Rhinolophus ferrumequinum: one gene and its partners. The protein of the gene in region 4 interacts with the protein of the main gene of each other region in a pairwise test. Links are inferred from orthologs where the notes say so. Each region holds a gene or a part of one and is shown on either strand. Other genes may lie near its edges. The genes, in order: PSMA3, RBPMS, BAG4 and SNRPB.

Region 1 (7,361 bases), on a different chromosome or scaffold from region 4:
CAGAAAAGGAGCTATTTAATAACTGGTTAAAACATGCTAATTTTAAGTAAAATACTGTTTCTTACCTACTATTTTCCACAGCCTTCATAGCATATTCAACTTGAAAAACTCTTCCATCAGGAGAGAATGTAGAGGCTGACAGGTCATACTAAGAGGAAAAAAGCAACAGTAAGCCTATAATGATGTAGCTCTGGCAATAGTAACCTTATATATTTTTTTCCTAAATGGCTTACACATCAGAAATTTGTGTTAAATCTCAACAGAGATTTTGCTTTACCATGTCAGAGCAGCAACATCAGCCAAGGGAAAAGTTAGACATTTTAGATTTCTGCTACTGAAAAGCAATAGATACATGTCCTAGATAAAATCAGAACTTTTTCACACAAAACACAAAGCTCAGTTTTGAAAAAAATTACTGTGGGATAGCAGAAATAGCACTGGAGTCAGAACATTTTAATTCCCGTGTTCCCCCGAAAATAAGACTTAGCCGAACAATCAGCTCTAATGTGTCTTTTGGAGCAAAAATTAATATACGACCCGGTCTTATAAGACCGGGTATAACATAAAATACAACATAGTACAGTATAATATAATATAATACCAGGTCTTTTATTAATTTTTGCTCCAAAAGACGCATTAGAGCTGATTGTGTGGCTAGGTCTTATTTTCGGGGAAACACGGTCATAGCTGTGGCACTAAGAAACTGAAGGGCCTTACTTAGACAAATCAGTTAGCATTCAAACATGTAATAAGCATATATTAGTCACTATTAGGGAATACAAAGAACACTCATTTTTGAAGTCCTTCATTTTCAAATCAGACCAGGCACAAATCTAGGTGCTGGAGATAATAGCAATAAACCAGAATATGGACTATCAAGAAAATAAAACAGGTTGAAGTGATAATGTGAGGGACTACTACAGACTACCTGATCAGGAAAGGCCTTGCTGGGTTAATTATATTTAGTTATTTAGATTGAGTCAGATCTAAATAAGGAGTAACTAGCCATTGAGGATATGAAGGAGCCATCCTCCATATTTGGCATAAAGACCTTAGGTAGAAATAAACCGAGCACAATCGAGGAAAAGAAATAAGGTCACTGTGTCTTGAGCACTGTAGGTGGTAGAGAGAAAACTGTATCAGACACAATGGAAGGGCCAAAGTATGTTGAGTCTTCTAGGCTGGAGTAGGAAGTTTATAATGTATTCTAAATGCAGTAGGAAGTCACTGAAATTTAAACGGGGGTGATATGATCTATTTTTTAAAAACATCATTACTCTGGGAAATGAACTGCAGAAGGAACAAGAGTGGAAGCAGAAATCGGGTATTCCAAAAGTGGTGGCTTAGAGAAAAAGAGACTGAAGGCAGTAACTTTTGAGGCTAGAGGGGGGAAAAAAAACTGCTAATGAATTTGCTGTAGGAGTAAAGTAACAAAGAAATTAAAGGTGAAGGATAGATTTTTTTTTCATTTAACCAACTAGAACTGGACCATTCACTGAGCTGAGGATTGTTAAGAGATACAAGGAGCAAAGTAAAAAAGAAATTAAGGTGAAATCATAGATTTTGTTTTTTTTTTCACTTGAGCAACTAGAGCTGAACCACTGAAGATTGTAGGAGACACAAAATGACAACTGGGAGGAGAAAACCCAGAGCTACTTAGGACATGTAGTTTGAAATCCTATTAAACAACCTGTAGAGAGAAATGTCAAGTAGACAGATCTCCTTATCTGAAGTTCTTGGAAGAAGTGAAGACAGGATAAGCCTTCAACAGTCGTGCTTCCTGCTGAGTCTGTTTCATGATCTGCTAAACCGTGATCCTTAATTCTACCATTGTTATACCAAAATATCTCACATGGTTGTATTATCAAGTATTTTTAAAGGGTTTGTCGAAGGAAACACTATCAATCGAAAGTAATATTAACGAAGGTGCAAAGCCAATTTACTACAACATGCATTATTGAGCAACTACTCCTAAAAAAAGTATAACATAACCTTAGCATCTCATAACTGAATGGATTAAACCATTCCAAACTTAAGATATAATACGCATTATCAAACTCGGAAAACCAATGTATGGGCTTAATGCTGAGGTGAGGATCAAAATCTTGTGAAGTGTAGATAAAGATGAGCTAAGAAACCCATTACTCGATGCCTCTAGTACAAACAACCAATATTTCTAAACGAAACTGTGTTTTCTATATGGAGAAATACATAAAAGGAGTAAACAAGATTGTATATATGCACTACGTTTAACAAAATAAAGTAGTAAGCCGAACAAGTTAACAAGACCAAGTTCAAAATCCTTAAGTCTTGTCTATTAAAAGTCAGAAGCGGTTAGGTCCCTAGCTAATCATTTCAATGTTTATGGTACTGTGCTGTTAAGTAATTGTACAGGAAACGCTGGGACAAAGGAAAAACGTAAAGGATTCTTGAGATTTCGCTTTTCAGACCGTTTTTCTTTTTGAGTTCTGTCCCGATAGGTTTCCAGGGAGTCACACTGAGCAATCACTACACTCGAAGGGAAGATGGAGAAGGTCTCATGAGTCAGCAGCCCCCTAGGAACTGCAAAGGCCCACGGAAAGCTGCGTCTCGGAAGTTGGAATCTCAAGCCGCCTCGCCTCAGTGGTTCTCAAGAAGGGCTAACTGTAGCACAAACCCTTCCCACACTATTTCAGGCCCCACGAGATTCCACTTTCGGTTTCCCGAAGAGGCTAAAGAAAGTGACTCAGCAACTCAAAAGTGGCTCCAGATCTTATTGCTGCGCCGCCAAGCCCGTTACACCTGAGCTTAAAAATTTCAGGACACCGTCACCGCAGGCTGCGGCCTAGAAATTAGCGCAGGAAAGACAGCAGTTCACCAGACAACCGGAAGCGGCCCACCTGGCCGGTGGCAGTCCCAGCGCACCCCAAGTGGTCTGTCCGAGTTCCCTTCAACGCTAATCCTTAGATTAGACTATCATATGCAGAGACAACCAACTCACCCCGGTGCCGATTGAACTCATCCTGCTAAATCCAGGGGAACGCGTAGGGCTTCAAGGCCTAATGCGCCCCTCTATCCTGCAGCACGCAGACGAGTAACAGGCTCTCTCATTGGCTGCTCTTTCGACCAATAGTCTTCTCTTTGGCTCATTCCTCAGTCTTTAGCCCTGGACACAGAGGATTGTGGGAAAAGGAGGGGACGAACATGGCGGGCGACGCGCATATGCAGATTCAAATGAGGTGGGGTTAGGGGAGTATACAGTGTTCTTCCTCTGCATTTCCTTCGAGTGCTGTTGAGCCGTTTTAAGTCTTCAAATTGTTTGAGAAGCTCCTCCATTCCATTTTCTAGGAATTATTTATCATTTATATTATCACTCTGTTTTGCTACCTCATACTTTCTTACAGCAAAGCGGAGAGATGTTCTTACCAAGACTAGAAAAAGCAGTAGGGCATTCTGGTTCTGACCCAGTATTTTGAGGGCATCCCCTTCACCCACCTATCCTCACAAAGAAGAAACTTGCATTCTAAGGGCATCGCCTTTGACCTCAGAAATTTTACAAAAGCATTAGTACCCTTTTTGTGAATATAACTAGTAGAATTAAGGATAAGACTGATTAAATATATTTATTGAGCTCTAATATGTCCCAAGTACTCTGCAAAACACTGGTGATAAAACGATGAAGTAGACTTAACTACATCCCTCATGGAGTTTACATTCAATGAGAGGAAACAGGCAACAAAGAGTGAATAGGCAAAATACTTGGACCTTGTGATAAGAAGATGAAAGAGACGAGAGATTTGAACTTTAGGCCTAGTACTTAGGGAATGAATTTCTGAATGGGTGATATTTAAACTGAAATTTAGGATTATTCTTATAAGAATATAAACTTGGCATGTTATAGGAACTGTCAGGTCCGTGTGGCCCATCATAGTGATTGAGTGCGGAAGAGTGACAGGTGAAATCAGAGAGGTGGATATAGGACCAGATCCAGTAGTAGCTGGGATTTTAATCTGATAAAAAATGGAAGGTCATTAGCATCATTTTTAACTACTAAATACTTAAGTGTGTATTTCCCCCCAAACAACATTATTTTACATAGTCACAGTAAAATTATGAAAATCAGAAAATTAACAATACTATTTTCCATATACCGCGTTTTAGATTTTGGCAATTATCTCAACAATGCCCTTAACTGCAAAAGAAAATCCAAGATCACATATTGCATTCAGTTGTCCTTTAACCTGTCCATATTGCATTCAGCTGTCCTTTAACCTAGGCTCCTTTAACCTGGGAAATAGTTGCTTAACATAAATAGTTGCTTAATATTTCTACAGGAGATTATTCCATTGTCTCAGCTTGTCATAATTTGATCAGAATCAGTTTTTATCCTTTCCTCTTAGAATTAGCATTCTTTACCGTAAGATTCAATGACTATAATCCTTACCACCCAGCTTCTGTCATTTGAGCTGGATAGTAATAACAATCTCTCAAATGTCAAGCAGTTACTGGAAAGTAGCCTTATTTTAATTGAACTAGAATCCCCTTCCTCAGTTTAACTTTCCTTGACTAGATCATATTAAACGAAAATATCTAACCTCCGCTGTTCTTCAGTGCAACACTAACCTCTTAGATGTGGAAATTTGTTTTTTAATGCTCCCGCACAAATTGTAGGAATCCGGTGTGCCATTTGGCAGAAGATGGATGGCCTTCATACGTGTTTTTTTAAAATAACATTTTGGGCAGTGAGTATTTTAAAATACTTAAGAGAAAAAATTCAATGACTATAATGATAAAGATTTGCATAAATTTTCAATGATCGTGGGATACACACGCAATAAAAATTATTAAACTTAAGTATAATTAAATGTTTTAAAGAATTCTTGAAAATAATTCGGAAGTGCATATTTAATAGTACACAATTTACAAAGAAGAGGTAAAAGAACAAACACCTAACGTAGCTGAACAATTATCAAGACATAAAAAAAATCCAGCCAACTTCCGAGCGCCCGGCTAGCTCAGTCGGTAGAGCATGGGACTCTTAATCCCAGGGTCGTGGGTTCGAGCCCCACGTTGGGCGCAAATGACTTTTTTCTCCTACGAAGTTGTATCTTAAGGTTTTCCCAAAGCATTATTACTGAGGAGGGATATTTTAAATCGAATTAATTTGAATAATTTGAATATGAACCAAAACTCTGGGAAAAAAGACTTCATTTTGCAAACGAAACAAGTCTCGAACTACGCTTGCGCACGTGGAAGCACACATTCCTCTTCCTTTCTGCGATCCCTCCCTGACCTCCTCTGTAAAGCAGAGGAAACTGGAAGGCCACTATTTAGTTGAGACTTGTTTTCTGTGTTACTCTGCATACTTACATAGTTGCTGGTAGAAGGCAATTTTTGCTTTTATCGGAAAAAAATATATGAGCCCCGATTTTGGCAGCTTTCCCAAAACTTAAAGAGATCCTATGTAAAAAGCACCTAGGGAGGCTGGAGGACTTTGAAGAAAATGTTTTCCTTTCTTTTACTTTTTCTTACTTTCCTTTTAGGGCCTGTCCTGAAGTAGAGGGAAGATAGGGGGATATCTCCAGAATACACCTGAGAGAAATATTTCTTTCTGTTGTCAGATCTGTACAACCAGTACATACATCAACTTTTCTTCCATTATTCTTGGGACTATATTTGGGATCTATCCAATCGAATGGTGATTAGGAAGTTAATATTCTGGTAAGGGTGAGGCTCTTTGAAACAGAAGTACAAAAAAACTCGGATGTGAAAATTCCGATGGGCTATTAGGTATACCTCTGTGTGTTATCCACGAGCTTTCCTCCTACTAAACCACCAATGTTTCTTATTTGTTTCCTTCAACATACAAACATGCTGTTATTTCTCTATCTTAAAACAAAAACTTTGACCTCGTTTTCCTGCAGGCTACCATTATATTTCTCTCTTTCCCCTTTGGAGCGAGTCACCCCTTCCCAGTCATCTAACTTCACCATTCTCCTCTTCACATTTCTTAACCCTGAAAATGCCCAGACCAAAACATCACCTAAAGTTGAACGAGTTTGATGTATTACTCATTGCAGTGAGGGAGAACTTGGGGTGTTTCAGTAAAAGGGTATTAGAAAGAACCTATTATAAGATTGGACTTTAAGTGGGTAATTTTGAGGGTCCATGGAAGTGCGGATTCCTTCTGGACTGGGTGTTCTTAGAAAGTCAGGGCAATTCTATAACCGTAATAAATCTTATCTCTAGGGAGAGCAGACTAAAGGAGGGATGAAGCTGAAATTAGTAAAGTGTCACTCACTTAACAAGAGAGGATGCTTGGTGTTTTGAGTTGGAGAGTGACCGACTTGCCTAAAGTGGATGTTCTGTGAGAAGCCAATCCCAAGTCCAGGCCTCCCGCCCTTCTACTAACCAACTATAAATCGAAGTTTCCCACAACCCTCTCTTCAGGTTTGGTAATTACCTAGAACGGCTCCAGAACTTAGGAAAAGTTTACTTATTTCTAGTTTATTATAAAGGATACAGCTCAGGAATAGCCAAATGGAAGAGATGCATAAGGCAAGGTTTGGGGAAGCTTCATGGAGCTTCCATGCCCTCCTGGAACGCAACCCTCCTAGCACCTGGATGTGTTCACCATCCTGAAAGCTTTCTGAACCCTGTAGTTCAGGGATTTTTGTGGAGGTTTAATAACTCAATCTCCAGCCTCTCTCCTCTCCCTGGAGGATGTGGGTTGGGGCAGAAAGTTCCAAGCTTGTAATCAGGGCTTGGTCTTTCTGGTGACCAGCCCTTATCCTGAAGCTACCCAAGAGCCCACCAAAAGTTGCCTCATTAGAACAAAACACACTCCAGAAAATTCCAAGGGATTTAGGAACTCTGGGTAAGATGCTCCTAACACCCCCATCCCTCAGGAAATTGTAAGGGTTTTAGGAGCTATGTCAGGAACGGGTTACAGAGACCAAGTATTATTTTTTATTACCCACACTTGCGCAATATGTCTTGTTTCAAATCACTAAGAAGTGTACCCAACCCTAATTATCCTATTCTAATTGGCAATTACCCACTACCCACTTCATCCTATTTTTCCCATAGAAGGTATCATATTCATAGGTTTTTATCTGTCTCTTCACTCTCTCCTACCCTGTTGCAATGTAGTGTAGGTCCAAAGGGCAGAATTTTTGTCGTTGCTCACTTATGATCTTAAGCACCTAATAAGTTAATATCTGATAGATATTCAATAAATGTGTTGAATTAAGGGTCTGTTAGTTTCCTAGGGCTGTCATAACAAAGCACCACAAACTGGGTGGCTTAAAACTGAAATTTGTCTCAGTTCTGGATGCTAGAAGCTTGAAAGCAAGGTGTAGGCAGAGTCACATGCTCAAAGG
Region 2 (7,200 bases), on a different chromosome or scaffold from region 4:
TGGATTCTATAACATAGCAGAGAAAGACTCAACTACCCTGACGATCTATGAAATAAACCGTTCTCCCTTAATGATGATTGGACTCTCTCTTCCTCGTCAGTGCAATCACCACCAGAAACTACAACAAAACACATTTTTCCTCTCTTGTCATTATGTGTGTATATATTTTATATGTCTGTGTGCTGTTTACTGGAGTCCTCAGCCAAGACTTTTAGATGTGTTTGAGGACAAATTGCCGATCGTTGGGTGGGCAGGAAAAGGGTCCAGTGTGGTGGTTTTGTATAATGCTGAGCACATTAATGAGACTCACTAAAAACCATATTTATTTTACCTGTGGCTTCCAGAGTTAGACAAAAGAGGTTCGGAGTTTTCCAAAACCAAAACATAAATCCAAAACAGGGAACTTGTGCAAAATTACCTGGATTATTCAGGCCAACTGACTTTCTTTTCCTGAATTTTTAACATTACAAACCCTCTGTCTTTATAGTGTATCTGTTTTACGCACTCCACCTTTTGTACAACTTAGGTTCTGAAATCTTCCTAACCTGTTTTTAAAATAGCAAGTGTCTTGCTAAAGCTACTGACACTTCCTAGAGCCACAAGCCGTTCCCACCTAAAAAGGAACACTGTAATGACAACAGGACAGGTAAGAGGGAGTGACTATACTGAGGTCACCTGTGATTCTACTTGGACACAACCTCACACATTAAGATGACCAGAAACAGGGCAAACAACACCTCAGTACTGGCAGTAGTTAGGCTGAGAAAGGTTAAGCAGAAAAATGTGACTTTATTTAATTTTATCAAGTTAAGTAGGTTATGGTTTGGGGACACTCAAACCTCTTTTGCTACCTACCAAAAGAAAAAAAAAAGAAAGAAACCTTTACTTTGCCTGATTAATGTTTTACATTTACAAGTTTTCTTAATTGGGTGAAGAGAAAAAGCTGATTTCATACAATATGTTCTTACCCTTTGAAGTACACAGATTGCCAACCTACCTTAAATAGAAAAGCTTCTGAAGCAATTATTACCTTGGTGTGTTCTGTGAATTTGTTAAATATAGCGATTCACAAAAAAAGGCAAACTTGTCATCATTTTTTAAATTTTATTTTAGTGGCAGGAAAAATAAATAGCAAAGAAGCCAGCGAGGTTCAAGAAAAAAGTAGAACTTGCAATTCAAGTCCCCTCTTTGAAAAAGAAGGAAATGTCAACAGTATTCCTTCACTTGTAGTTCAACACAACAAGCATGTAAGCAACGCTTTTCAAAATAATAGTTTATAATAAAATAGGCAGTTTCCTCATGTGAGAAGGCAATTTTTGGCTTACTGCAATTCACCTAGGTTGCACTACCCTACATCCATGTTAAGAGTAAAATTTTGTGTTAATTTTGCGTGGTTTTAGTTCTCTCCTTTACTTCCCCAGTTACAAGTGGACAATGGGCTAAGGGCTTATATGTACTAATCAAATCCTCCACAAAATTTGGTTTCACTATCAGAATTTCAGTTTGCACATAACATTATCTCAATAATAATCTCAATATCCTAACCACTTTAGAATCCGTTTACCATTCTGTTAGCCTTATATATAGGATGATATACCTGTAAGAATGCTTTATAGGTCATACCTAGATGCATACTTTCTGCATTTACACACATTCTAAAGTTCTTTTTAGCATGTTTAAGAACTCCACTAGGTCGGATCTAAAAAAAGTAGGCGAAAAACATTGTTTCTTGGACTCCAGATCATGTACCTGTAGGAAAAGAGCCCTTTTATAGGATACGATAAATATCCTAACTACAGATTCTGAAACATGTGTTCAGGACTTCCCTCCTACACTGACTGAATTCTGTTTACACCAAAGGAAAGCTCGGCAGCCCCAACATTTTTATCGTTATTAGGGACCCACCACATAAAATTTACGCTCGGAAGTCAAAGTCCTATTAAAATTGCCTCGAGGATAATTTGGTTAATTGTAAAGTTTTAAACTCTGCTCCCCACAACCGCATCGCCCCCACATTTACAAAACCTAATCACCCAGGTTCGGGGTCTTTGACTCATCAGAGAAGAATGCGGCTGAGCAGTTATCTATTAATCCAAAATGCCTCAGCTGGAAAGATATTTCACCAAGAACTTTCAACGCTGAAAGGGAGGGGGCAGGGAATAGAAGGTATCTTTTAAGACGAACTTTCCCCGACTTCTTCCTTAAACCACACACACAAACACACCCCACAACTTCCAGGGCCGGACGCAGAACTAAGTCCTGATACTCCGGGTCCCAATAATCTGAGGTCACCCAGGAGTCAGTCTCGATTCCGCTTTTAAAATCTCGGGCAAACAAAGCTGAGCATTATACTTACAAAAGTTTCCGAAAAGTCCTCAAAGTTACGCAATGTTAGGCACGCACCCACAAAAACACACTCTTCGAAGATACACTCTCCCGGGACCACAGTCTGCGGCAATTCCCACCCCCTGGACTGTGGTGCCCCGGGACCAGTGCCCGCATCCCGCCAGCCTCTCCCCGCCCGCCGCCCGCACTTCGGAGAAAGCCGGCGCGGTTAGCGTCCCAGGTCGTACCCGCCACCGCACCGAGCCATCAGTACCTCTTCCTCCTGAAGGTTGGCCTCGTTCGGGGTGTTCTCCTTCTCGGCTTTGACGCCGTTGTTCATCTTCCCGGTCCTCCCTCGCCGGGCAGGGCTGGGGCGCGGGGCTGGGCGAGGGCGCGCTCGCCCACTTTTCCCTTCCCCGGGCGCGGCGGGTTGGAGCCTGGGCAGCGGCGTCTCGAGTTCGGGCTCCCGGGCGCGGCGCGACTGCGGCGGCGGGCGACTCAGGAAGTGCAAGAAAGAGACCCGGCAGGGCGAGGCGCGGGCTGAGTAGGGGCCGGAGACAATCGGGACCCGGGCCGGAGACCTGGAGAGCGAGGGCGGGCGCAAGGGGAAGGAAGGAAGGAAGAAAGGATGGGGCGAGGACGCGCGTCCCAGGAGTGACCCCAGAGAGTTGGGGATGTGGCCGACTAGGGGTTGGGGGCGACCGCAGCCCAAGCCTAGCCGCTGCTGAAGGGAGGGGGCGAGAGGCGCCCAGAAAGGCGGCGGCGGCGGAGGAGGAGGAGGAGTGGGACAGAGGGGCGCGGGCCGCGGCTGGGACGCTGGGACGCGGAGAGCGGCTGAGTGCGCGCTCCTGGTTCACTCTGGGAAGTCCAGCAACCAAGCTGCGCCCTTTCTTTCGCCTTCCTCCCTCCCCTCTTCCCTCCCCCTCCTCCCTCCGCCCTCCCTGGACGTGGGCTGCAGGCTGTCGCCGAGAGGGACAAGACGCGAACCGCGAAGCCCCCGCGGGAGGAGGGGCTGTGCCGGGGGCAGCTGCCCCGCGGCCCAAAGGCGTGCGCCCCGGGGCGGGGGGGGGGGGAGCACGGGCGGAAGCGGCAGACCCCAGCCTCCGGCTCCGCTGTAGGTCCGAGGGAGAGGGCCGCGCGGAAGGAGGGAAGGTCAGGTCTTCCGAGTTACCCTGGTGGCAGTGTGGGGACGGAGTTGGCGAACTGGCGTGGCGGTGCTCGCGAACTTGGAGCGGGGCTTCGAGGAGACAGGCCCTCTGCCAGTGTGACCACCGCTAGGTGTGATGTGCTACTTTTGTTTGTGGGATTCTCACGAGGGATTTGCACCCCTACACCGGTTTACACCTATTTCTTCCCTTCCTAGTCCGCAGCTGGAAATGACAGGATGCGAGAACTGGAGTGACATCCGGGGGCAGCCTGAGCCGGGCCGCCGTTTTCAGGGCACAACTTCAAGCCCACTTCACACGCGGGGTCCTCCAAAACCTTTCCCACCGCGATCCCCACCCCCGATCCCCCGAACCGGCCGCCGCCGTTACTCTCCGCGAGGCTCCCCCGGGCCCCTGTTCAGTTCAGACTCTTGTCACAGCCCTTATCAGACTGTTCTGGAATTAATGTTTACCTGGCTGCCTTTCTGACTCTTTTGAGAGCTCCTCCCTGGAAGACAAGACCGTGCCCTGTTTATCTTTTTAATCCCACAGCTTTATAAATACGCCACCTGGTATATAGTAGACACTCGATAAATATTTGTTGGCTAAGGGAATGTTCCCCCTCACTGCAAGCCGAACCGGGGGCCAACAGAGCTGATCTGTAGAGTGTCAAAGCTGCTGCTTAAAAGAGACTCAGCATTCCGGGAGGTCAGCGCACGAAGCTTGTTCAGGCACCAACCTCGGACGGACCATGTGGCATCCTTTCCTCGAACCTGTGAAAAGGGAGTAGTTATATTTATCTCCCAGGAGTTTGCCATTAGAGCAGATTATAGTTTGATAGAGCGATAGCACCTAGCACCCATTCTTACCCACTTTAAGTGTGTGACACATGGAAGCTAACATTCTTATTAAGGACATTTCCATTTTTCTTGCGCCATAGAGAGCTTTTCCAATACTGTATCATTTAAGCTTTCAAACTTGACTACTACAAACACCTACGTTTAAAACTCCATACATCAGTAGATTCTCCCTCACTTCCTACCTCCAGGAATTTTCTTTCCCAGCATGCTGTTCCTTTCCAGCACAGCACCAAACACAATTTCTAATTATTTGCTTGCTCCACTGGTCATCTCTCCCCCCTCCCCACCCCTACTAGACATTCTTTACCCTTATACCGTTTTAAGTGCTGCTGGCTATGGGGTGAGGGTGGTGGTGGGAATTGAAGATAAGGCTCCCGCTGTCAGGGAGTGTAAAGTGGTGTTGTGGCGACAGGATATCCAAAACAACTCCACTGGCAACATAATCACAGATCCCGGTTCAAATTGCGGAAAGCAAAGCAAATACCGCTTTAAGAGCATTCGGAAGAGAAAAACAGCAGTGATACTTGGATTTACATAGCGGATTTTTCCTGGTGATGAGGGGAGTCTGAAGATTTTGATAAAGAGATTTAATTGCTGTCGTGATGTCATTTCCTTCTATAGGGGAGACAGTGTGTATCCTGGGTGAAAATGAACCCAGAGTCTATTGAAATTGAAATTGAAGTTACCTGGACAACTGTTTCCACCTCCAGTTCCTCACTGGGTTGTGTGAGGAACCACGAGGGGGCAATGTCTTCCCGAGCATTGGCGAGGGGTGGTCTTGGGCCCCTGTGCTGACCTCTAATGCTAGCTCTACTCTCCTTGGCCTTTCTTGCCTGTTAACTGAATACACTGCACAAAAAGGTATTGTCTTGCTGGAGCCTGGCAAGGGCCCAAGAAAAAGGACAGTTGATCTAGTCCTTGATGATTCCAGTCCGACTTCTCTTATAAGTCAGTGGAAGAAGTATGATTCCAGGATGCTGGGCGAACCTTCCCTACCCCCACCCAGGGAAATGTGGCTTAATTCCAAATGTAGAACCTGTTTCCTTTGTCTTTAAGCCAAGCTGGCATTTTGTCCATTGTTAAAAGTCAAACACCTCTGAGATTAAAAAAAAAAAAAACAAAAAAAAAAAAACAAGAATAAGTTCCATGAGAGGATCCTTGTCTAACTTGTTCATTGTTGTGATCCCAACATCTAGATACTGCCTAATGCATAGTAGGCACTCAACAATGATTTGTGAATGAATGAAGACATTGTTTTATCAGTTTTGATTCTGAGGCTTAAATGACATTATCAGATCCTTCCAAGACCTGGCAGGAGGGACTGAATTAGTGGAGGCATGGAGAGCCATCACATGGGGCATGAGGCAGATTCATGGAGTGGTCATTAGTCATTATTTTGCAGAGAGGAGACCCTAGATAGACGACAGCCTGTGCAGAAAAGGACAATCGATGAGATTTCAAGAAATAAAAAATAAAATCACACGACTCAGCACGAGGGCCCCAAACCACAACTGAGCCAGTCAACTGACACATGCAGTTGACAACAAAGCAGGGAGACCTAAACTATATAGTCAATGGTGAATGAAATTCAAGGTGTCTTCAGAAAAGTGTGTAGGGATGGGGTAACATGCCAGTAAAAGGGGTACTCCTATTTTGCCCTTTTCTTTAGAAATGGTTTAGACTTATATGGAAGAACAATAGAGTCATGTTGCCAACAAAACTCAATGAAAATCTGTGTATTTGGCTATTTATAAAATCTTGTGAGTATGGGGAAAGTTTGAGTGTGGGGGGGGAGAGGGCCATGTACATTCATTTCGGATATAAATGATCTTTATGACCTGTTTACTACTTCAAAGAAAGAAAGTTTCAAAAGTGAGATCTCAGTAGCAATAGTTTCCAGACGCACTAAGACTTGTAAGACAACAAAGGGATTTTATATCCTAGAAAAATAGGGCTAATGACCAAGAAACATCTGCTTTCTTTCCTGCCCACCACCCTACAACGCTGCTTCTGGCCTACCAGGTTACATGCTATATTGCTAGGGAAATATTGTATGCACCTATAGTTTTTATTACTCATCTCTATTTCTCTGGCTATGTTCATTTTGAGGTGTGCTTTAAGAAATTCGAACCTAGAATTATGTCTTAAATGACAGGTCATTACAGATATTAAAGGCCTATTTTGGGCATGGTCTTTGTACCTATGTTAGCACTGCAGCAGAAAGCTGCAGTGTCTACCACATGTGTTGTGACTGTTATCTGTTCTGCATCCTCTGCTGGACCAAACAAGTTTTTCAGGCCAGAGACTGTGTTTTATTGGTTTTTGTCATCCATAACATTTCTTTCTCTTTCACCCACCCCCACCCACCTCCAGGCCATCACCATCATCCCCTGAGTTTATTTATTATTTTTCAATTGTGGCTAAAAACACACACAACATAGTATTGACCACCTGAACCATTTTTGAGTATACAGTCAGTAGCTTACAGTATATTCACATTGTTGTACATTTAAGACATAATTTAAGACCAGTCATTTAAGACATAATTTAAGACAGTCTTCTGATCTTTACCTCCTAAATAGTTCTGAGATTCAATCACTTCCCTCCAAGTACTCATGGAAGCCTACGCAGCCACATGGACAGGCTCACAGGGAAGAGGATTATAGCCCCAGCTGAGCTCTTAGTGGACAGCCGGTACCAATTGCCAGCCTTGTGAGTGAGTTATCTTGGAAGTGGATAATCGCTTAGCCCCAGCTGACGCCACATGAAAGCAAGATGAGCTGTCTTCACTGACTCCTGCCCAAATTGCAAAATTGTTAGCAAAAAAAGTGAATGCTGTTGTTTTGAAACACTAAGTTCTAGGTTGGTTT
Region 3 (8,165 bases), on a different chromosome or scaffold from region 4:
AAGTTAAGGAAAATTAAATTCATTTATCATTAATTACTAATATCAACATGAGTATAAGAAAATATATAAATGAGTAGGGTACTTGGAAGACCAAACAACTGCAGAGATTAAAACTGTTTTTTTTTTGGGTTTTTTTTTAAAAGACGGAAACAGTTTTTCTATGCTGTGTGGGTATGTATATCTGATTATTGACTGAAGATTTAACTTTGTTTCAGTACTTAGGATTCATTTAATATCATACAGATGTCCACAAATTATGCTGCTGCAAAAACCTATTTTTTCACTTTGTCAGATAAGCATACCTGCTAATGAGAGTAAAGCCAGTATTTACTTTTACCTCAAAGTAGTTTGATGAATTTGTTAAGATTTACAAATCCAATCTGTTAAGAATAATTATTTTTCTTCTTTCAATTGGTACCATTTGTCTTACTTGAAAAAAAGCAGATTATCTATGCGCTTATCTTCTATAACTCTTACAGGTGTTTCAATTGTTGTTTTTCCTCCTGCCTAAATCCACTGACCTAACAGATGTTTACCACATGGTGAGATGAACTAGAAGTTTCTTGAAACAGAAGCAACTATAGATGTCTTCAGAAAAATGCAGGAGCAAAACAAAAGACCAAGACTCTTGAGTCTGACGTATTCCTAAGTGTAAAATCTTGAGCTTAATGTTGGAGTCCCTAAAAAGCTTCGGGAAATGCCTTCTATCCAATTTTCTTTGGACGGGGTGGGGTTACATTCAGTGCAGGAACTGCTCTGCAGAGTAGTTGCACCTGAGCCAACGTACAAATGAGCAGCTTTTTCATTGGACTGAGTTTATTTCTATCATTTGGTCCCTCTCATTGGGAAATTAAAAAAATAGTCCAAAACATTGTATGTTTTCATGAGAACCAGTTTTAGAATTACAAACTTGTAAGTGCAAGCTTTTAAACAATCTAATCATAATTTAGGAAACAATGATGTAATGACTCAAAACAGTATTCCATTATGCCAGACACGTGAAAAAGTTGGCGATAAATAAATTTCAATATGAAATAACACAAAAAATACAATGGGCAACTCGTATTATCTAGAGTATAGGAGAAGTCCACAACTAATACATACCAAACTGATCAATGCTTCTCAAAAAGCCTATAAGCGTCCTTCCATCTCGAAGAAGGACCAAGTGCTTTTCTGGGAAAAGGAAAAAAGATCTTTAAAAATGAAAACTGTTAGCATCAGTGAGTTTACAGGGTAACAACAAAAATAAAGTTAACAGCAGTTTACTTCTACCACTTCCTCTTCCCATGTATTTAAGGTGGAGTTTATTGGGAAATTAGAGGGAGGACCAAGGCAGCCTAGGTTACAAGATTAGTGGTGAAAAAAATCATAGTGTGGCAAAGTAGAAAAAGGACTGGCTGAGTAGTCAGGAAGCCTGACTGGCTCTAGACGTTGATGTTTGACAGTTACACCTCCTCAGTGTCATGTCAAGTTTCTGTATCTGCAAATTGAGAAATTTAGTCTGGATGATCTTTATGATCTTAATTCTAGAATTGTTTCCCTTCAACTTAGAAGAGCTTCTATTTCACACTTTGGAGTCAGGGAAGATTTTAAATTAAAAACAATACCTCAGACATGTAAAATGAGGATGCTGATAATAAGCTAGAGCAAAAATTCAATAATATTTATTGAAAGCTACGTGCTGTTCTGGAGCCTCTATATACAGTACTGAATAAAACTCAGAGATTCACCAACCTTATGAACTTATATTCCTGGTGGAGGAAGGCAAACAAATAAAAAAATGACCTATGGTGATCACTACTATGGAATAATAAGTAAGATAGCAGGATAGTAGGATGAAAAGAAAGTAGCTACAGAAGAGAGGGTGGCTAGGGAAAACCTCTCTGAAGAGGTGACTTGGAGCTGACTCTGAAAAATGACAATAAGCCAGTCACTAGAATAACTAGCAAAGATCATTCATTTGTTTCTTTAAGACCACACATAAAGTACTTCATAGATGTAGAACAGAGGAACAGGGTGCTTCTTCCCGGAAGGAATTTATAATTTTCCTTGGGCTATAATTAAGTACCATAAGAGAGCACATCTTAATTATATGAGACTGAGAGAAATTCGAGCTGGAGGCTGTATCTGAGTTGGTTCTTGAAAGTTAGATAATTTTTGTTCATGGGAAGAGTGACAGCGAAGGGGATGGTTTGGGAAATCTGTAATTTAGATAGGAGGAAAAAAAGGGCTATGTATCCATATGTTTGGAGAAGAGTTGACGGCATGGAGAGAAATAACAGGAACGAAGTCAGAAAAAAGAACTGGGAGCAGGTTGAGTCTGGGTTTGATTTTATAGGGAACAAGAAAACACATTGAAGACTGAACTGGCAGAAAAGGGAGAGCAGCTGAGGCTATTTCCAGTGTCTGGAACATGAAGAGACCTGAACCAAGGTAGGGATGAGAAGGGCAAGGATGGAAGTACTAAAACTGTGCAGTTTAAAGTAATGGGATTTGTCAACTAATTGAGTTTGTATATGCGGGTAGGTGTGAGAGAGTGTGGTGCTAAAGAAATAAGTTAAGCAGCGGTAGGCATTTTGCGTCATCATCAGGGAGGACCACTTACCAAAAGTCTGGAGTAAACAAAGCAAGCTCAGGGTGGAAGATTATTAGCTGTTTGTAATTCTGAAGTGCTATCAGGACACTTAGGTAGAAATGTCAACAGATAATTGGAAATGTAAGACTGCCAAAGAGGTCTGAATTAGAGCAATTTCGGATTGCTCTAATCCACAAAGAGGTGATATAATTATTAAAGTCCAGGAGATCTCCTAGAGATTTAAAGAAAGAAGCAGGTCAAACATGGAACCTAAGAGACCATCTATTTTAGGGAACAGTAAGAGGTAGAGAGGTAAGAAAATCAACAACTACTAGTATTGAAGAAATCCAGAGTACAGAATTAAGAATCCAGTGGTAATAGTTGCAGTGCTGCAGAGGGGAGGGGAAGACTCAGAAAAGTGCCCTAGACTGATGCCTTTTAAGAATGCAGCTTCACTAGTGTGTGGACAACAAAAATCAAATTGCAGGTGGTCAGGACGAGTCAAAATGGAGATGACTCAAAAGGTTTGGGGGTAAAGATATGAAAAAAGGGATGGGAGTTTGAGGAGACACAACTGAAAAAAAAAATTGAGATGGACAAAAACATGTGAAAGGAAGGATCCAGGAGGAGAGAGAAAGATACAAGGTGTGAGAGAAAAAGGATATTAATGGCAGAAGGTTCCAGAAACAGTGAGAGGAAAGAGTAATAAAAGACAAACTGAAAGGAAGGAATACTTCCTACTCAATGAGAGGACGGGTGAAAATACAGAAAGACTAAGGAGAGAGGAGGCAAGTGTGTGGGAGGTGCAGTGAAGAGTACATATGAAATGGTTTCGAACATTTCAGTAAAGGAGGGGGCCTGGAATCTACAAACAAGAGGTTAGAAGGCTTAAGAACAAAACTTATTTTTAATAGAACGACAGGATGTGTTAGGGCCTCAAATAATTCAGATACATAAAAAGAGAGGTGAGGGCAAAATGGCATCCTCAGACAACTTAAGATTTCATCACACATTAGAGATAGGCTTGTACAGTGGTTAGTTACATGTACGAATTTGGTCCAATTTACACTGTATTTCCCTTCAATAGCAAAATCACTAATTTGGATTTAAAAAATGATCTCAGACAATAAAAAGTTTAATTACACACTCACTCTAATCTGTATATATAGTAACTGTAGAGATTGTTGTAACTTGTTTGGAACTGTGTGTAAACCATTTTGCAGCAATTACAAGTTAATGAGACAGGATCACACAAAACATTTACAAAAATGTTGCTTGAGGAATAATTCACAGATGACAGTTTAGCAAAAGGACAGACTATATATATATGTATATGTATATATATATATATATATATCCTCTTTCATACAGGACTGAATTCCTCTTCAGGATAATGATTAAGAATAAGGGAGGTCTTCTTAAGTAAAAGCAAAAGAAAATTGTTGAACAGAAAAAAAAGAAGTGAATCAACTCTGCCTTTCCAGAAAAGTCAATACCTTGTCTGGCAGTGGTCTCTGCTACCATAATTTGAAAGTACTAAAGACCCTTACGGTAAAAGAATATTGCAAATGACTACACAGCATAAAGCCTATGTTTACTGCCAATAAGTCCAAATGCTATTAATATTCTCATTTCTTGATGAATGCTTTAAGCATTCTCATTCATCCACCAGTAACAACCTGGTACTTCAGCAGCGTCCCTGGGAAGCAGGACTGAATGGTACAGCTTGTGGTTGACCAGCCGGTGCAGGCTGCGTGGGGCAGGACGGAGGTAATAGAGGTCGTAGGCTAGGAGGTAGGCAAAGGGTGTGTCCCGTGGCTCCTCCATCCCGTGGAGCATGTCAACACCAAACACCCAGAACTGTGCTCAAATCACACCGCCCCCCGCCCCAGACTCGTTCTACGAGCTTCCTCGAAAGAGGCACCCTTCGGGGAGGAAGGGTCTCACCCCAAACTGATTTAACTCACTGTCGATGTCCTCGATGAGGCTGGCGGTGCCTGGCATATAGTTCATTTTGAACTGAGATAAGACTGCAGTGTATAGCTGCGGTGGGCCAGCGTGTGCAACACCTCCCTCCTCCTACCGGAGTCGCCGCCTCGTCGGAACCGGGACAGTAACCCGGACCGGGACCAGCGCGTCCGCCCCGGCTTTCAGCCGCAGGGGCCTGCCGGAAACTCCTCCATAATATCCCTACCTACTTCCGGTACCACGTGCCCATCGTCTGGAAGAGGCGGGACCGTCGTGCGGTCCGGGGACACACTTTCCCCATCTGAGGAGAGGGAAAGAGGAATCTACATGGCATAGGTGATGGGAAAACGTAGTCTCCCTTTCAAGGAACACGGTGCAGCCCCTCGTTTTCCTGCTTCCCAGACCCCCAGAGTCACGGACCTTCGTCCATCAACTCCCAGGCGTCCGCCGCTGAAGGGGCGGTACCAGGCCTGGGATTGGCTGTTGTCGGCCGACCCCCTTCATTGTTGTCCATTCCCTGTCGCTGGCAGGGGCCTGCGCAATGAGCCGGCCGTGGGGGGCGGGAAGCGCTTCGGGGCAGCGGTGCCCATGTCGGCCTTAAGGCGCTCGGGCTACGGCCCCAGTGACGGTCCGTCTTATGGCCGCTACTATGGGCCTGGGGGTGGAGATATGCCGGTGCATCCACCTCCACCCTTATATCCTCCTCGCTCTGAACCTCCTCAGCCTCCCATTTCCTGGCGGGTGCGCGGGGGCGGCCCTGCTGAGACCTCTTGGCCAGGAGAAGGCGGAGGAGGCGATGGCTACTATCCCTCTGGAGGTCCCTGGACGGAGCCGGGTCGAGCTGGAGGAAACCACCAGGTAAGCTTTGCGCCATCTGTCCTAGGAGGTTCTGGGAGGGGGTTCTTTGGGAGTGAGGTCCATTGGGATTAGTATACCCCCTGAGTTCGTATCGGATCGGGTTTCATATTTGTTTTCCTTATTGGGGGGTTTGTAGAAATAAGACTGGGCTCGTGGGTGGGGAGATATGCTTGTGTTCTGTTTGCCCCTCCTTTTCTGCTTCGACCATAATAAATGTCTATTACCATTAAAAAAGGAAAAAAGATCCTGCGCTGACTTGCTAAGCTAGGTAGAGGATGCGGAATGTCGCCTGGGAACGATGTTGGGCTGAAGTGACCCGGCTCTGCTTTTTGAGCTCTAGCAATTTATCCTGCGTGGCTCGTCAGGCCTGCTCTCCCCCCGAGAAGGGAGGTGGCTGCAGCCCCCGCCGTCATTCAGCAACCTCTTCCGCGGGGAAGGAATTTAGGAAGGAGGTGGGGGGAATGTGGGCATTTATTTAGCCCTTTGTCCCTAATGCTTTGCCTGGGATTGACTCAACGAATAATCAGCGTTGGGAAGTATTTTTACGTGGATTGTTTTATTTAATCTTCACGGCGACTGCAACATAAATGTCATTTATGTTGATCCTAATAGTGACCCTATTAAAGAACTGTTGGCTCTGAGAGGTTAACTCAACCTGCTCAATATAGTCGGACCTATAACATTTCTTATATTCTTGCCAGAAACGTACAGTACTTCTGTTTTGTTAATGCAGTATTTTTCGTAGAGAATTATTACACAATGTGTGTGGGGGGGTCACATCTCTCTTTCAGAAATTATAACACCCTCATTGTTTGAAAATGTAGTAGTGAAATTCCCATACATTGCTGGTGGGAATGTAACATGGTTCAGTGCTTTGTAAAGTAGTTTGGCAGTTCCTCAAAATATTAAGCACAGAGTTAGCATATTACTCAGCAAGTCTGCTCATGGATATACCTGGGGGGGGGTGCCCAAAAAAGATTTATACACATTTTAGGATATGTTATCTGTGCTCAAGCAGTAGTTCGTGGTAATCAGAAGTGTCTGGACGCTGATGGTAACCATTTTGAACACCTCTTGTAATTGCAGAAGTCAAACGTGACTTGTTTCATCTTTTGTTATCCGTATATGTTGAGTATTACAATTAATACAGTTTTTCCCTTTTAAAATGTGTATACATTTTTTTGGCACGCTCTGTATATGCAAGAGAATTGGAAACATATGTGTATTAAAAACTTGTATATGCATTTTCACAGCAATGTTATTCATAATGGCCAAAAAGTGGAAATAACCCAAATGTCCATCAACTGATGAATAGGTAAAATATGGAATGTTCGTACAATGAAATTATGTAGCCATAGAAAGGAGTGAAGTACTGTACATACATTCTACAACATGGACGAACCTAGAAAACATCATACTACGTGAACAAAGCCAGTCAGATAGACCACATATTGTATGATTTCATTTATATAAAATGTCCAGAATAAGCAAATCTGTAGAGTCAAACATTAGTGCTTGCCAGGGTTTTGGGGACTGGGGACATTGGGAGTGATAGATAAAAAGTAAGGGGTTTCTTTTTGGGATGATGAAAATATTCTGAAATTAGATAGTGACGATGATTATACAACTTTGAAGATGCTAAAAACCATTGACTTGTACACTTAAAAGGGTAGGTTTTATGGTATGTTAGTTGCATCTTTAAAAAGTTGTATGAGAAAAAAGCATGTAGTAGTGAGAGGTTAATTATGAAGAGAGTTCCATATTTTCTGTCTAAATCTAGAATAATTAGCCTGTGGGACTTGAATCCCTTGGTAGAGTAGAGTGATGAACTGTTTGGTCTATAAGTAGGCAAATTAGACCAAAGACCAAGGGAGAGGAGAGGACCACTGATGACTTCTACTTGGGCTTGCAGTATTATCAAAACAAAAGTGTGTTTTAGGGGTGAGGTTAGAGAAGTTAAGATGTTAGTATTGTGTAGATGTAAGGTATGGATGGAGCATAGCGTGTACATAGGCTGGGTGATGGTGCTGCAGTAGTTGGAGATAAAGCTGGGATGTGTACTGGACGTTCATAAACCATTTCAAGAGTTTATCTTCAGATTGATGTTTCTGAAACTTGAAAAGTATAGGATTATAATCTATGCAGCAATAGAAAATTAATACAAAAGATTTGCATGTTGCAAATGTTTTTTTTTCCAAATTTGTTTGTTTTTTAACTTTATTGTGGTTGTGATATATAAGTTTTACATTTTTTACATAATCAAATATGTCAAACAAACAAAAGGTATAGGAGCCTTTTAAAACCGTACTACTCAAAAAGTGTGGTCCTTTGACCAGAAGCTTCAGTGTTGCTTGGAGGTTGTTAGAAATGCAGACTTTCCTGCTCCAGACTTGCTGCTGCATTTTAATAAAAGCCCCAGGTGATTTGTATGCATGTTCACATTTGAGAAGCACAGCTCTATAGAATTGGATATATTGAGATAATGTTGCAGTGAACCACTACAAAAACTTGACTCTCTACATTTAAATATGGCAGGAGAAAAAACCCAGAAATCTACCTTTCCCTGTTTTCTTTCTTTTCTTACTTGGTTAGCTGTACTTGGCAGCATTGTAGTTTGATCCCTGAACTAGCAGCATCTGCATTACTTAGGAGCTTGTTGGAAATGCTGTATCTCAGGCCCTGCCCCAGACTTACCGAATCAGAATGTGCATTTCACCAAGATCTGTAGATGATTTTCATGTTCTCCCAGAATGAGAGAGGAGAG
Region 4 (7,115 bases):
CACCAGGGTCCCAACAGCTACCCATAGCTGCCCCAGCCTAAGCCGTGCACAGAAGTACATTAGGTTCTTACAGCTTTTCAGCCTCCATTTCCAGCAGTGCCCATCAGCCCGAGGCCCTTCAGACACAGACACTGTGTGATCCAGGCTTTGTGTCAACATTAACTCCCTACTCTCTGCATACTCAACTCGATTTGTCCTTCTGCCTACCAGCTTTGGCTTGCCTGTATTCCAGAAGGTTATTCCTGCTTGTCGGTTGACTGTAGACCAGCTCTGGCCTGTGCAAAGCACCCACTAACCCAACTTTTCCATCACCCAGTGGGTTGTGACTACACCTCCAAGAGGGCTGAACCCCAGCCTTGGGGAGGGAAACTTCCTTTCAGGTTTATCCTTCCTTAGTACTTTCCCTCAGCTAAAGGTTTTCTTTCAATAGGTACAGTTCCTCTCCTATCATTGCATAATAATTCTTTATGTTAAATTTCCCATTTAAATTTTTACTGTGTGGTTTTTGTCTCCTTATTGGACCTAGATTGATACAGATGTGAATGTGTGTGTGTAGTTTTTATATGAGGGCAAAGACATGAACTTTTGATGGCATTTATTCAATGAACCCATAAGCCAAAGAAATGACTCAAGTCAAAGTTATTATTAATAGAAAGTGAGGCTACGGCCCTGAATCCAGACACAGAAATCTAATGCGCTAGGCCAGGGAATGGCAAACTACAGCCTGAAGGCTGAATCTGGACTGCCACCTATTTTTGTAAAGCCTGTGAACTAAGAATGGCTTTTACATTTTAAAGGGTTGAAAATAATCAAAATAATAATAATATTTTGTGACACATGTTTGTGTCCATAAATAATGTTTTATTGTAACACAGGCACACATTCATGTATTATCTATAGCTGCTTTCATGCTACAATGGTTGAGTTGAGTAATTGCATCAGAGACCATATGGCCCACAAATCCTAAAATACTATCTGATCCTTAACAGAAAAAGTTTGCTGATCCCTGATCTAGACTGAACCTTGGGAGCACTTTACCAAAAGCCAAATGAATAATCTATTTAACTTCATGCTCTCGAATCCATGACTCCTTTTTTCTTATATGTAGAAACTGACAAGCTGATTCTAAAGTTTGCATGGAATTTCAAGGGATCCAGAATGCCAAAATAATTTGGCAAAAGAAAAATTAGGAGGACTCACATTTTCTGATTTCAAAACTTACTACAAAGCAATGATACTAACATAAGAATAGACATATAGATCAATGGAATAGAATCGAAAAGTCAGAAATAAATCCACGTGTCTACAGTTAACTGATTTTCCACAAGGTGCCCAGACTATTCAATGGGGGAAGAAATAGTCTTTTCAATAAGTGGTGCTGTGACACTGGATAGCTCCCTGCAAAAGAGTAAAGTTTGAACCTTACCTTATACTGTATATAAATATTACTAAAAATGTATCAAAGATCTAAATGTAAGAACAAAAACTAAAACTATGAGAAGGAAACATGGCTAAATCTTCATGATCTTGGATTTGGCAAAGGATTCTTAGATAATACTACCAAAAGCATGAGCAACAAAAGGAGAAAAGGTAAATTAGACTCCACGGAATTAAAAACTTGTGCAGGACACTATTGAGAAAGTGAAAAGACAACCCACAGAATGAGAGAAAATGTTTATTAATCATATCTGATATGAGATATGGGACTTGTATCTAGAATACATAAAGAACTCATAAAACTCAATCAGAAAAGATACATAACCCAAGAATGATATACAAAAGGCCAATAAGTACATGAAAAGATGCTCAACATCATTAGTCACCAGGGACATGAAATCAAAACCACAGTTGGATAGATACCACTTCACACGCCTAGGATGGTTGAATCCAAAAGTCAATAATAAGCGTTGGTGAAGATGTGGAGAAATCAGAACCCTCATACACTGCTTGTGGGAATGTAAAATAATGCAGCCACTTTGGAAAGCAGTCTGGCAGTTCCTCAGTTAAACAGAGTTACCAGTAATTCCACTCCTAAGTATACATGAAAGGGAAATGAAAGCATATGTCTACATGAAAACTTGCACACGTGTTTAAAACAGCATTATTCATAATCGCTAAAAGGTGTAAACAACTCAAATGTCCATCAACTGATGACAGAATAAACAAAAGTGGCATATCCCTACAAAGAAATACTATTCAGCCATAAAAGAAATGAAGTACTGATATGTGGCACAACATGGATGAACCTTAAAAATATGCTAAGTGAAAAAAAGCAGTTACCAAAGACCGCAGATATTATATGATCCCCTTGATAAAAAATGTCTGGAATGTCCTTCACTTTATTCAGGTCTCTGCTCCTGTGCCAATCCTCAGAGAAGCTTCCTCTGACCATGTAGCCAACATTACAACTCATCACTCTCAGTCCCCCTTCCCCACTTTATTTTTCTCATATCACTCTAATGTTACTTTCTAGAATGTATTCATTTGGTTTATTGTCTGCCTTTCTCACTAAAACATGAACTCCTTCAGGGAAGGGACATTGTATCTCAGTAATAGTGCGTGGCCTTAGTAGGTGCTAAATAAATATTTTTTAAAATGCATGCATCAGTGATATGTTAAGAGGCAGGGTAATTTGGGAGCAGCTGAGGAGCCAGACGGTACCATATGTCTGTTCTGATGCTGCCACCTTGGGCAAGATAATTCATCTCTCTGAGCCTCCATTCTCTTCCTCTACAGGTTGACAGAAACAGGACAACAGAATATACATCTTAGGATGGTGTGAGGATGACAAGGTCCTGAGGTGGAGGCTTTCCTTGCTGGCTTTGAGGAACAGCAAAGAGACTGGTGTGGCTGTGATGAATGAGGGGAACGTTGAAGGAGATGAGGTTGGAGAGGGATGCAGGGCTGATTTTATTCCACGTGTGCTGGGAAGTTATTGGGAGGTGGAGAGCAGGGCAATGACATCATTTGATAAAATCCCAGTACATTAGAGAAGAATCCCTCTGGCTGCTGTGAGAGCAAGAGAGGAAGCAAAGAACAGTTAGGGGCTCATTCAGTGATCCAAGTCAGAGATAATGGTGGCTAGGACTGGCGTGGTAGCAGTGGAACTCGTTTCAACAGTCAGATTCAAGACATTTTGAAGGTGAGGCACATAGGATTTGCTGTTTATGAGAAGGGAGAGAAATAGGAATCAAGGATGCTACCAAATTTGTCATTTTGTTTTCTAACCCAAGAAACTTCTGAGATGGGAAACACTGGTAGAAAGTGGTATTGGGAAGAAAATAGAATCAAGAATTCAGTTTTCAACGTTAAATTTAGTATGGCTATTAGACATCCATGTGAAGCAGGTGGCTGGATATAAAAGACCAGGCGTTAAATGAAGAAACCAGGGTTAGAAGAATAGATTTGAAAAAAGCCTGAACCTATAGGTAGCATTCAAAAGACATGGGACTGGATGGGATTGATTGATTGAGTCAAATAATTATTAAGCCTTTATTTTGTGCCAAGCAGTGTTCTAGGCACTGCAGCAATGAACAATACACACAAAAAATCATACGTTGGAACTTACATTCTAATAGGGAGGGACAGCAAAATAACTAACAAAAAAAAATAGTATGTTAGCGATCAGTGTTAAAGAGAAAAATAAAACTGGGATGGGTGGGAAGGTTGCAATTTTAAACAGAATGGCCAGGGAAGTCCTCAGTGGGAAAATGTTATTTGAACTTAAGTCTTGAAGTTGAGGGCATGAGCTATGAATGTACCTGGACCACTAGCATTCCAGACAGGCAACAGCAAATGCAAAGGTGCTGAGGCAGGAGCACGTCCAGCAAGTTCACGGAAAAGTCGGGACAGTGGCTATAGAGCAGAGAGCAGGGGTAGAGTAGTGGGAGATGAGGACCGAGAGTTAACGGACCGGGCCGGGGGATGACAGTGTGCAGGAGCAGCTCCTGCACGAAGGGGTCCAAGGAGAATCCTAAACTAACCGAGTTCAGTTTGGTTAGCGCTGCCCAAGCCCAGCCCAACCTCCCGCCCCGCTCTAAGATTCCTTTTCCGCACGGTGGGCGGAACGCGAGGGCAGGGCTCTGGGACCGGAAGTAGTTTTCTACCCGAACCCATTTTGCTCCCGGACGTATTTCCGGTAGCGGCGGCGGGAAGCTGGCGACTGGAGGCCCTCTAGGCCTCCCCACAGGCGAATCCGGCGGGAATCCAAGCCATCAGAACCGCCACCATGGTGAGGAGGCGCAGGCTGGAGGCGCGGGAGCTTCCGAGTCTGTTGTTCAGGCGGGGACCGGGACTGATTGGCGGGGAAGGCCGTGCTTGGCCGCTCATGGCGATGAAGGCCCGGGCCGCGGCCGCTCGGTCAGGGCACTAAAGACCCGAGACCTTGGTCGTTCGGCGGGTTGGGGGAGGGGAAGGCTGGCACTGAGGGGGAAGGCCGGGGTCGCTCGGTGGGGGCGAGGATGGAACTGCGGCTCTCCACGCCGCTGTAGCCACAGTACTTGGGATCCTGTAGGAACTAAGTAAACTTTTGTAGAAGAAATGTGTTCCGGGGTTTTCGGAGCAGGCACTAGAGCCGCAGGAGGACTAAGGAAGACCTACTAAGAGGCTCAGACTTGTGAAGGGAGTGAGGGTCTGAGCAGTTACGGAAAAAGTGCAAGGGCTTGCGGCCGAAACTGGAGTGTTCTTGGATCTAGTCGGTGGCGGGAACGGTAGGGTGACTGAGAATGTTTGGAGGAAGAGTTGAACTCATTTTTTCAGCATGTATGTATGAGTACGTCGGACTTTTCAGGCGCTGGGGCTACACAATGAAATGTTTCCTACACCGAGTTGACTTTGTAGTTGGAGACACCGGTAATATTAGGTTGGTGCAAAAGTAATTGCGGTTTCTGCAACTTAACCTTTTAAACCGCAATTACTTTTGCACCAACCTAATAGAATTCAGAGTGGTAATAAAGCATTGAGTGAAAGTAATGGCGGGAGGCGAGCAGGGTAAGAATGCTGTAGGGAGTAGAGGATTCCTGAGCAGAATTGTACAAGGTTGTTAGGTGTTTTCCCAGCGAAAATGAGAGGGGACATTATAGATAAGAAAGGATGCGAGAGCAAAGCATGAAAGGTAGCACTATTGAAAGTTGCTGGAGGGGGAAAGGAAGAGCTGGAAGTGGGGCTGGGAGGAATTGGCAGGAGGATGGTTACTAAAAGGCTTACATTCTGCTTAATCCTGCTGGTGATGAGGCGTGTCGTTGAAGGCTTGTAAGGAGCAAAATGACATGAATTTAAGTTGTGTTTAGAAAGATTACTTTGTTCTGTAGCTGTTCTGTGTAGGGTGAAGTGAAAGCAGGGAAACCTGGCAGGATACTGTTTGGGGGAATTTTGTCTCCCAGCTTCAGTGGCTTCATCTGTAAACTAGGAACAATGGGACTGATTTTGAGATTTAAATGAGATACATAGTGCTTATCACAGTTCTTGGTATACAGTGAGCACCCAGTAAGAGTTGGTTGTTGCTGGGTGGACCAAAAAATGTTGCCATAAAGGTTCAGATCTTTGTGGCCAGAAGCTGTGTGATTACCTGCCAGTTAAAAATAAGAGTCATCTAAGAGAGACTGAACCATATAACCTGGGTCTCCAGGGTGAATGTCAAGATTCTGATCCACACATTTGTGGGTTCAGAAACCCGTTCTTGTCCAAGCTCACAGAAGTGAACAGCATACCCAGGCCTGGCATTTGAAGGCACTTGGATGAGTTAGGACTGGCCCACACCATTCACTGATGGGAGGCTGATGATACCCGGATCAAATGCCAGGGCATTTATTTCTAGAGAGAACTATAACTGCCAGGGGCACCTGACAATTTGCATTGTGATGTGTATATAGTCTATTTTAACAAAGCTATACTGGAATCCAAGTAATAAAGCAGAATAGATTATTGGGTTAATTAAGACGTGTAGCGAGTTACATATTCTTAAAGACCATGTGTGTTCAAACTGATTAGCACACTGGTCACCAGAAAGCTTTCCTCCCAAAGGTAGTCTTGGAGGCACACTTATTTGGGGATTGCATTCTCACCTCCACGCTGACCAGCTCCTTTCTGATAAGCTTCTGGTTGATTGGATTTTTAGTGCCAGTCCCATTCCAGCTCTTTCCTCAGTCTTTTTAATGGGATGTGGGTGACAGCACTGGAGTCACACACCTAGAATCCACAGTGGCAGATGACTAATCTCGTATGGGTGGATTGGATTAGTTTGGAGACATCCTGCACTCACCCCTGAAACACAGCCTAAACAAAGGCAGTTGTAATACGAAATGATTTGAAGGGGAGGAGAATAATAGTAGTGGGTAGAGGTCAGGGCTGAACACGGGGTGACACGGGAGGATTCCTGGCAAAGGGCTGTGGCTGGAAGACAGAACTGAGAATCTACTGAGAAAGACAGACACATGGCAAAGAAGGCCACAGCAGACTTTTGAGGAAGGGCTAGGGATATGTGGGTCCCAAGGAGCCGAGTGTCATCCCCACTGATCTCTCCTTGCAGACCGTGGGCAAGAGCAGCAAGATGCTGCAGCACATCGACTACAGGATGAGGTGCATCCTGCAAGACGGTCGTATCTTCATTGGCACCTTCAAGGCTTTTGACAAGCACATGAATTTGATCCTATGTGACTGCGATGAATTCAGGAAGATCAAGTGAGGAGTGGGCTGTGGGGAGGGATTTGGGGGAGGGGGGTAGATTGGGTGGGTGGGCCAAGTGACAGGTCATGTAGTTAGCTGGTTTCTGTCAGTTTGTTTGCTCTCCTGGTTGAGAGGGCAGATTTAAATGGGGACATTGGTCACTAAGAAATCGCCTTCCTTAGCCCAGCAAGCCTGTTCTGTAGTTGTAGCAGAGTACAAGTTGTAAGGAGAGCTGCTAGGCTTTTTGTTTCTCTGACTTTCTTGTGCCCCTGGGTACTGGGGTAAAGGGCTCTCATGTTCTCCCCACAGGTGTGTGAGGGGGGAGAGCTTGATTTTCTGGCCTCAGTGCCTATTTGTAAAGCTGTAGCCTAAAGGGCTTTCCCAATGCAGCCTGGTCTGAAACTGCTTTAAGAAGCCTCTGACCCTCTTCAGGGTAAGTGCTCAGCTCCCTG

Evidence for each region.
Region 1: the proteins of SNRPB (region 4) and PSMA3 interact in binary tests that used the Homo sapiens proteins (3 or more experiments, as listed by UniProt). The link is inferred for Rhinolophus ferrumequinum from reciprocal best matches to the Homo sapiens genes SNRPB and PSMA3.
Region 2: the proteins of SNRPB (region 4) and RBPMS interact in binary tests that used the Homo sapiens proteins (3 or more experiments, as listed by UniProt). The link is inferred for Rhinolophus ferrumequinum from reciprocal best matches to the Homo sapiens genes SNRPB and RBPMS.
Region 3: the proteins of SNRPB (region 4) and BAG4 interact in binary tests that used the Homo sapiens proteins (3 or more experiments, as listed by UniProt). The link is inferred for Rhinolophus ferrumequinum from reciprocal best matches to the Homo sapiens genes SNRPB and BAG4.

Annotation. Positions count from the first base shown.
Region 1 is NC_046289.1:35,995,658-36,003,018, forward strand, and holds the start of PSMA3 (proteasome subunit alpha type-3), read right to left. Parts: upstream 3,136-7,361; 5' UTR 3,002-3,135; coding exon 2,981-3,001; intron 149-2,980; coding exon 66-148; intron 1-65. UniProt on the Homo sapiens protein: Component of the 20S core proteasome complex involved in the proteolytic degradation of most intracellular proteins. This complex plays numerous essential roles within the cell by associating with different regulatory particles.
Region 2 is NC_046287.1:67,295,996-67,303,195, forward strand, and holds the start of RBPMS (RNA-binding protein with multiple splicing), read right to left. Parts: upstream 3,169-7,200; 5' UTR 2,666-3,168; coding exon 2,600-2,665; intron 1-2,599.
Region 3 is NC_046287.1:61,425,431-61,433,595, reverse strand, and holds the start of BAG4 (BAG family molecular chaperone regulator 4), read left to right. Parts: upstream 1-5,077; 5' UTR 5,078-5,131; coding exon 5,132-5,401; intron 5,402-8,165. Other genes in the region: U6 snRNA-associated Sm-like protein LSm1, read right to left, coding at 1,105-1,173, 4,543-4,588. UniProt on the Homo sapiens protein: Inhibits the chaperone activity of HSP70/HSC70 by promoting substrate release. Prevents constitutive TNFRSF1A signaling. Negative regulator of PRKN translocation to damaged mitochondria.
Region 4 is NC_046306.1:24,784,044-24,791,158, reverse strand, and holds the start of SNRPB (small nuclear ribonucleoprotein-associated proteins B and B'), read left to right. Parts: upstream 1-4,092; 5' UTR 4,093-4,228; coding exon 4,229-4,231; intron 4,232-6,526; coding exon 6,527-6,678; intron 6,679-7,115. UniProt on the Homo sapiens protein: Plays a role in pre-mRNA splicing as a core component of the spliceosomal U1, U2, U4 and U5 small nuclear ribonucleoproteins (snRNPs), the building blocks of the spliceosome.